Linked DNA regions of Schizosaccharomyces pombe. The protein of the gene in region 3 purifies or fractionates together with the protein of the main gene of each other region. This does not show direct contact. Each region holds a gene or a part of one and is shown on either strand. Other genes may lie near its edges. The genes, in order: hcn1, apc14, mad3 and apc13.

The links.
Region 1: the proteins of mad3 (region 3) and hcn1 purify together in Schizosaccharomyces pombe (affinity purification with mass spectrometry, with the first as the bait; one study listed by BioGRID). This does not show direct contact.
Region 2: the proteins of mad3 (region 3) and apc14 purify together in Schizosaccharomyces pombe (affinity purification with mass spectrometry, with the first as the bait; one study listed by BioGRID). This does not show direct contact.
Region 4: the proteins of mad3 (region 3) and apc13 purify together in Schizosaccharomyces pombe (affinity purification with mass spectrometry, with the first as the bait; one study listed by BioGRID). This does not show direct contact.

The regions. Positions count from the first base shown.
Region 1 is NC_003424.3:2,152,822-2,155,537, forward strand, and holds hcn1 (anaphase-promoting complex TPR lobe accessory factor subunit Hcn1/Apc12), read left to right. Parts: upstream 1-1,805; 5' UTR 1,806-1,973; coding exon 1,974-2,216; downstream 2,217-2,716. Other genes in the region: serine/threonine protein kinase Cka1, read left to right, coding at 1-190, 252-553, 647-703. UniProt on the Schizosaccharomyces pombe protein: Component of the anaphase promoting complex/cyclosome (APC/C), a cell cycle-regulated E3 ubiquitin-protein ligase complex that controls progression through mitosis and the G1 phase of the cell cycle.
Region 2 is NC_003424.3:4,517,310-4,520,452, forward strand, and holds apc14 (anaphase-promoting complex subunit Apc14), read right to left. Parts: upstream 1,199-3,143; 5' UTR 988-1,198; coding exon 664-987; 3' UTR 524-663; downstream 1-523. Other genes in the region: omt2 (4-alpha-hydroxytetrahydrobiopterin dehydratase), read left to right, coding at 233-523; etf1 (electron transfer flavoprotein alpha subunit), read left to right, coding at 1,737-2,762. UniProt on the Schizosaccharomyces pombe protein: Component of the anaphase promoting complex/cyclosome (APC/C), a cell cycle-regulated E3 ubiquitin-protein ligase complex that controls progression through mitosis and the G1 phase of the cell cycle.
Region 3 is NC_003421.2:995,875-999,339, reverse strand, and holds mad3 (mitotic spindle checkpoint protein Mad3), read right to left. Parts: upstream 1,925-3,465; 5' UTR 1,653-1,924; coding exon 720-1,652; 3' UTR 501-719; downstream 1-500. Other genes in the region: SUA5/yciO/yrdC family protein Sua5, read left to right, coding at 1-398; vcx1 (CaCA proton/calcium exchanger), read right to left, coding at 2,524-3,397, 3,454-3,465. UniProt on the Schizosaccharomyces pombe protein: Component of the spindle assembly checkpoint which is a feedback control that prevents cells with incompletely assembled spindles from leaving mitosis.
Region 4 is NC_003423.3:1,834,388-1,837,044, forward strand, and holds apc13 (anaphase-promoting complex TPR lobe accessory factor Apc13), read right to left. Parts: upstream 969-2,657; 5' UTR 909-968; coding exon 501-908; downstream 1-500. Other genes in the region: SPOM_SPBC9B6.11C (CCR4/nocturin family endoribonuclease), read right to left, coding at 1-62, 192-417; SPOM_SPBC28E12.02 (BICC1 family RNA-binding protein), read left to right, coding at 1,940-2,657. UniProt on the Schizosaccharomyces pombe protein: Component of the anaphase promoting complex/cyclosome (APC/C), a cell cycle-regulated E3 ubiquitin-protein ligase complex that controls progression through mitosis and the G1 phase of the cell cycle.

The DNA.
Region 1 (2,716 bases), on a different chromosome or scaffold from region 3:
TGTCATTCTCGTGGTATAATGCATCGTGACGTTAAGCCTCATAATGTTATGATCGATCACAAAAAAAGGAAGTTACGGCTAATTGATTGGGGTCTGGCCGAGTTTTATCATGCTGGCATGGAATACAATGTTCGTGTAGCCAGTAGATACTTTAAGGGTCCAGAACTGTTAGTAGATTTTCGAGAATATGGTAAGTTGCATCCACTTTTGTTAAATATATTTACGTTTCTTTTTTCCTAACCAAACTTTAGATTACTCCTTGGATATTTGGTCGTTTGGTGTCATGTTTGCTGCTTTGATATTTAAAAAAGATACTTTTTTCCGTGGGCGGGACAATTATGATCAGCTAGTTAAAATTGCCAAAGTTCTGGGAACTGATGAACTTTTCGCTTACGTACAAAAATACCAGATTGTGCTGGACCGACAATACGATAATATTCTTGGTCAGTATCCCAAGCGGGACTGGTATTCTTTTGTCAACCGTGACAACAGATCGCTTGCCAATGATGAAGCAATCGATCTGTTAAATCGTTTATTACGTTATGATCATCAAGTAAGTTACCGAACCTGAAGGTTTTTACAGGATCTTATACAATCACTTATTTTTTTAAGTGGTATATACTGTATAGTTACTAACTTAGCATAGGAGCGTTTAACTTGTCAAGAAGCTATGGCCCATCCGTACTTTCAAGTACTCAAATAAGAACTGAGGGAAGGGACTATAACTCAATTATCTCTACGGACAGCCTTTTCATTACTAGTTCCCTTCATTTTCATAAAAATGAACCAAATCCAATTCTAGTTTTAATTCTGGTTCATGTTTTATTATTCTTTTCTTATTATTAGACTTGAGTATTCCTCTTCATTTACGTCGGTGATAATTTAAGCTAATATTTCTTGCCCAAACGTTATCATCTCCCACACGATTCCTCGAAACGGTTCTTGCATAAGTACATCCTACTATAATATTGCTTTCACGTGGCGGAGCCTTCCCACTACTTTTTCCCCGTACCTACTCGTTAGACACTTGGTCTACATAGTGTCTGTGTCTATTGCTTTCCCTTACTCAAATTAGAGTTTTTTTTATTTTTAAATGCTATCGGGCTTACTAAACAGGTTCCAATTCTATAGTTTTCTTTAATACTTTAAACGAGTTTTTACCTCTTTAGGTACCTAACAGCTTTATTAATAGTAAGTAACTCTGCGTATTATGCATAATGAATGCAATCTAAAGAAGCGATGGAAATGAATATGCGATATTTCATGAATGAAAAGTAAAGCCTTAATTAGAGAGCAACCTTACAAAACCTCTTATTCTGTAGCGTTAATCTTGCGCAGCTGCTCATCCTGAACTTGTTGAAGTTCAATGCTCAAAACAATTGCCTTTTGTAAATTCATTTTACTGTATTTAACACATATTAGAATTCATCATATTAAAAAAAATGATAATGTCATAAACTAGGGATGAACTTACAGGAATTCGCATTTATTCAACACTGATTCCAAATGAAACAGTATTTGCTTTTGAACCTCAGTCAGCATGCCAAAATTTGCACCAAAATCTAATTCAAAAGAATGTGTTGTGATCTTTGAATTCGGAAAAAACAACTTTACTTATCTTACTTGGTAAAGTATATTGTTTAACCAGGCAAATTTGTTAAAAAAGGAGTAGTTTACCTCTCGCTTTATGCGTATTTATGGTAAAACAAGTATAAAACACTATAACGCGGTAGCTCAATCTCTCGCTTTTAGAAAATACTTTACGCTACGATCCAAATAAATGGGTTAACTTGTGTATCGTCTACCAAAACAACACCTAAAACAGCGTGTTTTATCATTGCATTGCAACTAAGGTGAGTTTCTTTCTTCCTCTCTTGCTTTTTCATCCTTGAATGTAAATAAAATTCAATCAAGCTGAATATAAATTTAATAACAGACCACATTTGTGTACTACGTTTGTTAGTATCTCCAACATGTTACGAAGAAATCCTACGGCAATACAAATTACTGCTGAAGATGTTCTTGCATATGACGAAGAAAAGCTAAGACAAACGCTTGATTCCGAGTCAACAACAGAAGAAGCATTGCAGAAAAACGAAGAGTCAACACGTTTATCGCCTGAAAAGAAGAAAATTATTCGTGAAAGAAGGATTGGAATTACTCAAATATTTGATTCTTCAATGCATCCTTCCCAAGGTGGAGCCGCTCAATCATAGACCGTGAAACTAAATCATAATTAAATCATCAAATAATCGTTAGCCCACATTTTTTCGATTTGCACTGTTTTGTTAGCATTTCACACCTGCCTCCATACTGCTGATCTTTACATATAACTATTTTAATCGGCCATCATAATATGGACTACACTGTCTATGTTAATTTAATTAGTAAGATATACATCGATTGATAGAACAGTGAAGTTTTCGTTAAACAATGACCAGTCTCATTAACTTTAATCTTGCATACATTTATCCTAATGCTTCACTCCATCAATTATTCAACTTAAATTCTTACCCATATCAAATTGTCAAGCTATTTCATTTCTATTGTTACCAAGAGTATTTATAAAGGTTATTCGCAAAATTTATCAAATCTATATATGTATATGCATGTCGACAAAAAAAAAAGTGGGCTTTAGGAAAGAGGTGAAGGCGTGTGGATCAAATAGATAGTTTGCGAATTAATAATTAAGAGTAAATTCGAAAAGCTCACTATA
Region 2 (3,143 bases), on a different chromosome or scaffold from region 3:
AATGCTCCTCTGTAGAAGAGGTTCTTTTAGCGTAGTAGCTAAATTTACTCTTTTGATGTTGTGAATAAGACAAGACGATATGATTTCGTTCTCTTTCACATACCAAAGTAAAAGGAGGTAAATTGAGTGTATTAAAACAGTTACGTTCTACACACATCACATTGATATTTTACCTAAATTTTGAAGAAAAACATTTTTTCTGGAATAAACGTTGGTTTAGAAGGTTGAAAAAATGAACACATCAGCTAGATTACTGGCGTTAGTCTCGAAATCAAAAAACAACTGGATTCTTCAACAAGGAGATACAAAACTATTTAAAAGCTTTCGTTTTAAAAACTTCATTGAAGCTTGGGGATTTATGAGCTGTGTCGCATTGCGTGCACAACAGCTAAATCATCATCCCGAATGGACTAATGTATACAATAAAGTGGATATTACGTTGACAACTCACGATACAAAGGGACTTACAGAAAAAGATTTAAAGCTGGCAGAATTTATTGATACACTTGCAAAGGATAACTGAAAGCTGCAACCAAGAGGGTAGTAGCGGAAAACTATCTTGAGACACAGATTGCCAGAAATTATTCTTAATATTTTGAATTAATTTAGTGTTTAGTGATGTGGTGTTTGAAAGGATAAGAATTTATATCATAAACTCATTAATCACCATTCAGCCAACTGGTCAAGTTGTTGAACATGTTTTGTCAGATGCTGCATAATAGCTTGCCTGTATTCTGGAATAGAACTTCTGCTGGAAGCAATTCTGGATATTGCAATTCTACTTGCCCTTTCATTTCTTTCTTGCTCGGCCTCTTCACCACCTATAACATCTCGATAATTCCAAAATTCAATGGCTTTTGAAGCTTCAGGGAGTAGAAGTGGTTTCTTGGCGAGAGGTTTTGGGTTGCCAGACATGGAGAGTCTTTGAAAGACGTTTCCAAAAGTTCGATAACTTTTGGACTGACCAGTACCAGCAAACGGATCCATATGACCTCGAAACGTTTTAATATACAAAAGTAAAAAAAACCCCCGTGAGTACTAAGAGACAATGACTTCAATCATTGATTTGTTCTTCTTTAAAAGAGAACCGTTTAAATATGAAAATTGTAATCTCTTTTGTATTTAAGCAGTAAGTGAAGAGGTTTGGACAAGTGATTAGGAAATTTCACCGATTTTCTTGTTTATTTACTATCTTGTGTGCGTAGTTGAACAAAACTCCTTGCCATCGTTAGAAAGCAATGCTTGTGGTATAAGAATGTGGAGTGTGTTATTAAAATAAAATAGTGAAGTCACCTTTTGTCTCCTAATATCTTAGTGAACTTTAACGTTGATGAACGATTCAATAACTGTAATGCTAAGAAGGATACATTGAGTTTCTCATATTTTTTTTTATTTGAAAAGAATTTTCATTATTATTATTTTTAATGATGCACCTAGTTATTGCAATCGCTATAGACTTTAAACTTTGTATTGAAAGAATTTGTCAAAATATTGGCAGTTGGTTATCAAAAAAAATAAATGTAAGGTATATGAAAATTAGGATGTTTTCATACTCACGAAAAATCATTTCTGGTAGATAAATCACTTAAATATATCACGATTACTTATTTTTAGTTATTTTACCTTTGAAATGTAAGACTGTATTACTTAAGTTTTTTCTTAGTATAATATGTGAACATACATATTGTCAGCGTACATCCTCATTCACCCTCAAACCTACAACGAAGTATTCTAACATGCTAAGGACTACTAGCCGGACATTTTCTAGGGCTTTGTCTTCTTCTAACTTTAAAATAAATTGTGGAAGAAGGCATTGGTTTAGTGTTTTGACGTTGCTTGAGCATCAGGGAGGGAACTTGTCTCCAGCATCCTTGTCAGCAGTAGAAGCAGCAAAGCGTACCGGTGGGGATGTTTTTGGATTTGTAATCGGTAAGGATTCTTCTCAAATTTCTCAAAAGGTAGCAAAATCGGTGAACGATTTGAAAAAGGTTATCTACGTTGAGAATCCGTCATATGAGCATAACATTCCCGATCAAATAGCCAATGTTCTTTTTGAAAATGTTAAGAAAAATGAAATTAGTCATGTTTTTTCTGCTCATTCAACTGTTGGTAAAGGGGTGATGCCTCGTTTGGCTGCTATGTTTGATGTGATGCAGATTAGTGACATTATTGGTGTGGTTTCTGCTGACACATTCGTTCGTCCGACATACGCGGGAAACGTAAACGTTACTGTGTCTACAAAGGATCCTATTAAAATCGTCACCGTTCGTGCATCTGCATTTGACGCCGCTCCTTCAAGTGGTGAAGGAGCAGCCACTGTTGTTGAAGGTATTGATCCAAAACCAGCTGCTCTACAAGAATGGGTTAGTGAGAATATTATAAAGAATGCTAGGCCTGATTTGTCTTCTGCCGAAAGAGTTGTTGCTGGTGGTCGACCTTTGAAAGACAAAGAGACATTTGAACGCATCCTTACACCTTTGGCTGACAAATTGGGTGCAGCAATTGGTGCTACACGTGTTGCCGTGGATTCTGGCTATGCTGATAATTCTTTACAAATAGGTCAAACTGGAAAAATCATCGCCCCAAAGCTTTATATTGCTGTTGGAATTGATGGTGCTATTCAGCATCTTGCCGGAATCAAAGATAGCAAAGTCATTGCTGCTATAAATCGCGATGAAAATGCTCCTATCTTTCAAACAGCAGATGTGGGAATTGTAGGTGACTTATTTGAAATCGTCCCGGAGCTTACTGAAAAACTTTGAAAATCATGTTGAGGAATGATTCCTTATTTTTCATAATATCACATTTATTTCAAATTTCACATCTTTTTAGAAGTTAATAAAATACACGTTTATTTAACTGGGTACTCGTAATAAATTAAGGAAATTTTTGATGTAATATTTAATTATATACCAGTGAAACAACTCTGAAGTCGTTTTATACATACATTTATGAAGCCACCTCAGCAAAGCTATCGTAGGTTGATTATCAAACATTTCAACGTATGAGAAAGAAAGGGATTTTTTTAGCGGTCTAGATATTTAACCAGAGATAAATGATAGAAACATGGAAAACATAGAATACGCATACACTCTCAGCAATACTTCAATGTCATCACAAAGCAAATCTATTAAAAGAAAATA
Region 3 (3,465 bases):
ATTTCATCCCTCAAACTCCTGGTATGAAATACAGACACTACTCTCCAACTGCCAAAGTGCTACTTTTTGTCAATTACACAGAATCTGATGCATACGGTGTTTTTGAAAAGTATTTATCTGAGCAGGGAATCACTAAGGAAAAGCAGAAGATTGGTGTTTTATGTAGTAAACGTTGGAACGAAGAGTCATTCCCTTCTCACTGTCCGTTTGTATTTTTGCATATGGGAAGGGATGGACATGAAATTACAAAGAATTTATTCGCTCAATTGCGAGATTTGGATCTGCAGGGAGTTGATTTTGTTTTGGTTGAAGGTGTCTCCGAGGAAAATGAAGGGCTAGCTATCATGAATCGTTTGGGCAAAGCTGCTTCTGTGGTTTTTGAGGGGCCTTCTCATTAGTTAAAATATTTATAGCTAAGGGGTCTTAGCTTTACTTGTATAGAGGTGTAATTACTTATCGAGCTATCTGTTTATTATTTTGATAAATTGTCTATAAAAGAATTATTTATATCATATTCATTAACTTATGGCTGACTATAATTAATTTGAGAGTAAAATATAAAAAAAAGCTGCAAATCGTAGTATAAATAAGATGCTTTATGTTAAGTTCGTATAACCCTTAAAATTCGCATGTTTCAACCTATTTCTTATTCCGGGAGTCATGATGTACAATAGTTGTTAATCTAATAACGCCAATACTTTAAATCTTTTCTTTATCGGTTATTCTTTCGATACTTCCTCATCACAATGAACTTGAAATTTCCCAAGAGGGTCCAATTTTCTTGGAGATTTCAAAGGCAACTTTTCGCCTACCCAAGAAGTAGCCGATATGTTGTTTTCTTTACGCCTTTGATCAACTGTACCAAGAGTTTGCCAGGTCCCAGGTTGGCCATCCTTTCCAGAACCATCCGCATCTGAATAAACAGAAAATTTAAATTTAGGTTTAGAAATTTTAGTCCTAGACTGGGATATTTCCTGGATATTTGTTGACTCAAATGTCGTTTGTAAAGGATTAACCGAATTTGTATTTGAAGAGAATGATTGTGGGGCAAATTCCAACCAACGGTGAGTAAATTGCTGATACTTTTGCTGAAATCTCAAAAATGGCTTAGCCTTCATTCTTTTTCCTTTCTGATAAACTTCGTCAGCTTTTTGAAACAATCCCCTAGACTCGAAATAATTTGCGTATTCCTCATAAAAAATCGAGGACTCCTGTCCAATATGATGATGTGCCAAGAAAGAAAATAATTCAACCGGTTCGTCTATATAGTTTACATATTGCATCCATATTCGTAAATACCGAACATCATCTTTATAAAGCGGATTTCGTACGAATTCTCGAGTACACCTTTCTAACAATGTTACCAGTCCACTAGTTTTTGTTTCACCTTGAGGGAAATTATCCAAGGTCCATTTAATATAATCGATCCAAACTTGTAGTGGATCATCAAGAGACTCGCTCGTCTCTATTTTTCGTTCATGGCCCATCCTTTCTTTTTGCAGACCAGCAACTTCTTTTTCGGTGTGGTTTCGCGACGAAGATTTTGCAAGTGCAGAAGCTGAATGACCAGCTTTTCTAGGCTCTATGTTTTCCTTGGACTGCTCAATGACATCCATATGCACCCAGTTCTTGCCAGCATCTAATGGTTCCATTTGTAGTCAATGTCTTCCAAAAAATTAGTAAACCTTTTCTAGAGAACCCTATACCTTCCACTAAATGAAAATAAATAAAACAAAGAAGGAGATGTGAGTGTAGTAGTATTGGAAAGTTTATTTAGACAAGTACAATTCTATTGAAAGAACGAAAATAGCCAGTATATAGTTTAATAGAAGGTGTACTGAAAGCTTTTGTATAAAATTAAAAGTGTCAACACTCAAAGAGCAAGAGTAGGAATGTATGAAAGATTGTGCGTAAATTAGAAGGTAAGTGCCAACTTGACGCTGGGGGAGGGTATCATACTTACGCCTGGAAGAGTCCAATGAAAGAGATAAGAAGTTTTTTCTGTTTCTTCGAATATACAGAAACAGAAGAAGAATTAAAATTAACCACTTCACATACTAATGGCTTGTATTATTAAATCATGTAAAACACAACCTACAAAACAACTAATAAAAATAAACAAAATGAAGATTTATAAACAACGATTTACAAGAGTTTATTCAAAAATTAATTTTCTATTTTCATAGCTGGTAAGACACATGAAACTGAGACTGAAGAATGAGCGACTTAAAAAGCTACTGTAAACAAGCAGATATTGGCTTGACCTGCAATAGAAATTTAGAGTTGTGTAGTCATTGCGAAAATGGGAGATTTCTGCATAATTTAACACTTGCATACTAAAAAATAAGTCTGCAAAATATCCTTGTAACAGAAACCAAAAAAAAAAAAAATCTAGTATAAAAAAATAAGAAATCAATAAGTTCGGTATGATAGTTTCGTAAAGTAAAACACAAAGAAATCAAGAGAGTATATCAAGCACATAAGAGTAGACATAATAAGGAACTAGCGAGGGAACGACAAAATTTATTGAGGGTAGTAGAAAAAGGCGAGAACAACAATCGCATACAAAGCAAGTAATTGAACACCTTCAAGCCAATGAGTAGCACCATCTTGTATCAAGTAATTAACCAAGAAAACAGACACAAATAGAATAACTGTTTCCAATGATTCAAAGTAAAGTGTTAAAGGTTGGGAGATGATCCATCCGACGATTACCAAGAAGGGAGCTAAAAACAAAGCAATCTGAATACTGGAACCAATAGCAACACCCAAAGCCAAATCCATTTGTCCTCGGTAAGATACCACGATTGCAGTAACATGTTCGGCAGCATTTCCTACAACAGGAAGGATGACCAAACCAACGAAAGTTTTTGAAATGTTAACTTCCTCAACCAATTGGTCTATCGAACCTACTAAATAGTCTGCGCAAAGAGAAACAAAAACCGTGACGATAGCAAGCATGGCAATGGATGAACGAAGGCCTAAAATTCGAGGTTCAGTTTCTTCTTCCACTTCACTGGGATCATGACAGACATGCTTATGAGTCTTTAATTGGAAAACTAAAAGTAAAACATAGACGATGAGTACAATAACAGCAGTTCCACGAGAGACATGGAGAAGCGCATTTTCGCTATTAGCGTTGTCGGGAAGGCTGTAATGGAAAGTCGCAGGAATCAATATGGTAGCAGTAGATAAAGCAAGCATTGCAATCATAGTTTGTGCAACAGTGATATTAAATGTGGTAATTTCACGACGAATACCAGTAGTTACGAGACACATTCCAAAAACAAGAAGCAAGTTGGATAATATTGATCCGAGAAGGGACGATTGAACGATGCGGAGCTCTCCTCTTTTCAAAGCAAGAACGCCTACAATGAGCTCGATGGCATTTCCAAAACTGTACACAACGTGTTAATAAAATAACAAAAGAAGACGATAAAGTAGGAATCTTACCTAGCATTCAAC
Region 4 (2,657 bases), on a different chromosome or scaffold from region 3:
CGTATTGAATTCGGGTGGAGCATTGCTTGGTGGAGCAATAGGTTTTCGAGCAGCCTTCTTAGCTAATAATCAGTTAATAAAATTGAGCAACAAAAAATTAAACAAAGGAGTAGAGATTCGGTCTTAAAAAAAGTTTCACAACAACCTTCTTATTGTTGCTCGACTAGATGAACGAAAATTTTTTTTCATACCCATTTTCTCAAGTTTTTTTTGGCGTTGTTTCTCTATGTATTCAGGCGTTACGAACGAAGGAGGGCCTTTAGCTGAGCCTTTTTTCTTAACGGGTATCGAATCTGCCATCTTGTTCTTTTTCTGATCAAAGAATGATATAGCAAGTTTGGATAATCTATAATCAGTGTGGAATCGATCGATAAAAAACTTCAAAGTCAATGTACACGTTTTAGGACAAGTGTACATACAATGACTTTTGAGTAGACTTTATTTAAGTTTTCACAGCCGAAATGGATTAACGACTGTTGGTTCGTACAACCTCAGGTATATCATCTAAAATACCGCATACTAGCGTGCTCTCCTTGATGCCTTCTGTTCGCTTCAAGAAAAGGAGCCATTGGAGCTTCTTTGACTGATTTGAAAGGATCTGTTTCAAAATTATCTTCAATTGTATTTTTACCCTCGGCATTTGAAGAGCCTTGAATGAATGCAAAGGCATTAACTAAATCTTCGAGTTCCAAATCTTTCCAAGCCGGTTCATGCCTAAGCTGTTTGTTTTTCATTAAGATTAGATTTGCACTAGAATGTTGAATAGTCATCTCATCTTCTGTAACAGGTGGTAAGTGTTCTACTCGCACTTCGACATCGTCAACTGGAAGTCTATCTTTTAGCCAATCCGAGGCAAACAAAACTACTCCCGGTTTATTCATATGAACATAATTGTAATTCGAATCCATTAATTGTTTTACTGATTCCAAGTAGGAGACTTATGGTGCTTTTATACGGTTGGTGTTATTGGAGAAGTCGGTGGTAAGTGTGTAAACAAAGCATTTAGCAGCAAAGTCTACTAGTTGGGGGGAGGGAGATCTTTCCATGAAAATCAATTATAAGAATTCTAGATTAATTTCTTATTCACATAATTCTATGAACTTTTAAGTAGAAATAAAAATCAGTTAGGTGGTTTGCTACTATTCTTCTCAAAACCTTCGTCTCTTAATCTATTTATTCCTATTGGCATGTTATTTTTCTTGATAAATAAGGTAAATATATGTGCTTGCTTAGCTTACAAATTTCAAAGAATGACACTAATAGTGCAATGTTTTACTTAAGCTATGATTGTGTCCAAAACCCTAGCAATACTGACAGAGTTATAATGAAAAATTAAGCGTATATTTCACAATCATATAATCATATTCCCCCTTTTCTGAAAAAATGTCAATGGCAAATCATATACTGTTTTGAGTTAAAGAGGCTTTGGCAGATCATAAATCAGCCATCCTAATTAGTAAAAAGAATACAAAATTGTGATGGTTATGTTAAAAGTATTCCTAGTCATTAGTGCATCACCTTAGAGTCATGTGCTGTATATATATATGTGTCTACCTTTGCATAAACAAACTTGTATTCCACAGTCAAACTAGTACAATACACATCGTTCTGCGAAAACGTTCTGTTTATTTTTCAGCAAAAAATTAAAGTTTAAGCTATCATTCATTGCCAATCGCATATCAATTCCAAGATTTATTCATTGTTTATTTACATTTGGAAGCTAAACAATAACTTTCACGGAAGCAACAACACAACCAACAACCAACCCTTCAGAAGTAACTTTCGGAATAATTTTGTATTCAAACCTATATCGTTTATCATTCCTTTGGATTTCTTTTAATCTTTCTTTCGAACACGAAAAACTTACTCTTCACTAAGCTTCGAAATTTCCAATCAAACGATTTAACAATAAGAAAATTTTGTGCTTAAAATCACCAAAATGGATTCTCATGTTTTAGCATTTCCAATTCCTGATCCATCTACACCTCCTCCCGAAGAGGCATCCCTTTATGCTAGTAAATGTGACTATTATGAAAGCGATATTTACTCTCAAATTAGGAGATTAACCGAAGAAAAGTGCATTGAGACAGAAAAAGAGTTGCCAGTTAATATAAAACTACATGTCAAACATAAAGGAATGAGCATATCATCTTCCCGCAATGAACTAGTGGTTACTGTTTCAGGAAATTATAAAAATGTGTACACTGCAAAAATAAAGATTTTGCAAGCCATTCCCAAAATTCTAATCAGCAAACTTGTGCTCGAAGAACCCCTCGAAAACCTCCTTTTTGATGAAGATGGGTACGTTTATGAAGACACTATGAAACATTTGGACAAAATAACGGAAATAACGGGAGCAAAAATTTATATCATGCATCGTTCCATGTGTCATGATATCGATTTTCAGCTACGTACTGACAGCGGATTCAGCAATCGATTAAATGAACAACAAAGCTTCTACCAAAGGCATTTAGAGTCTACTAGGCATGAATTTTCATGTCAAAAGAACGCAGAGAATTCTTTTTTTATTGTCTTTTATGGTGACTATTGCAGCGTTGAACATGCTAGAATTCGCGTATTAGCATTAATGGATGAAATCAGAGGATTATCGGTAGTAGCTATTGCAACTTCTGTATCTTTTCAGCCAATTCTCGTTG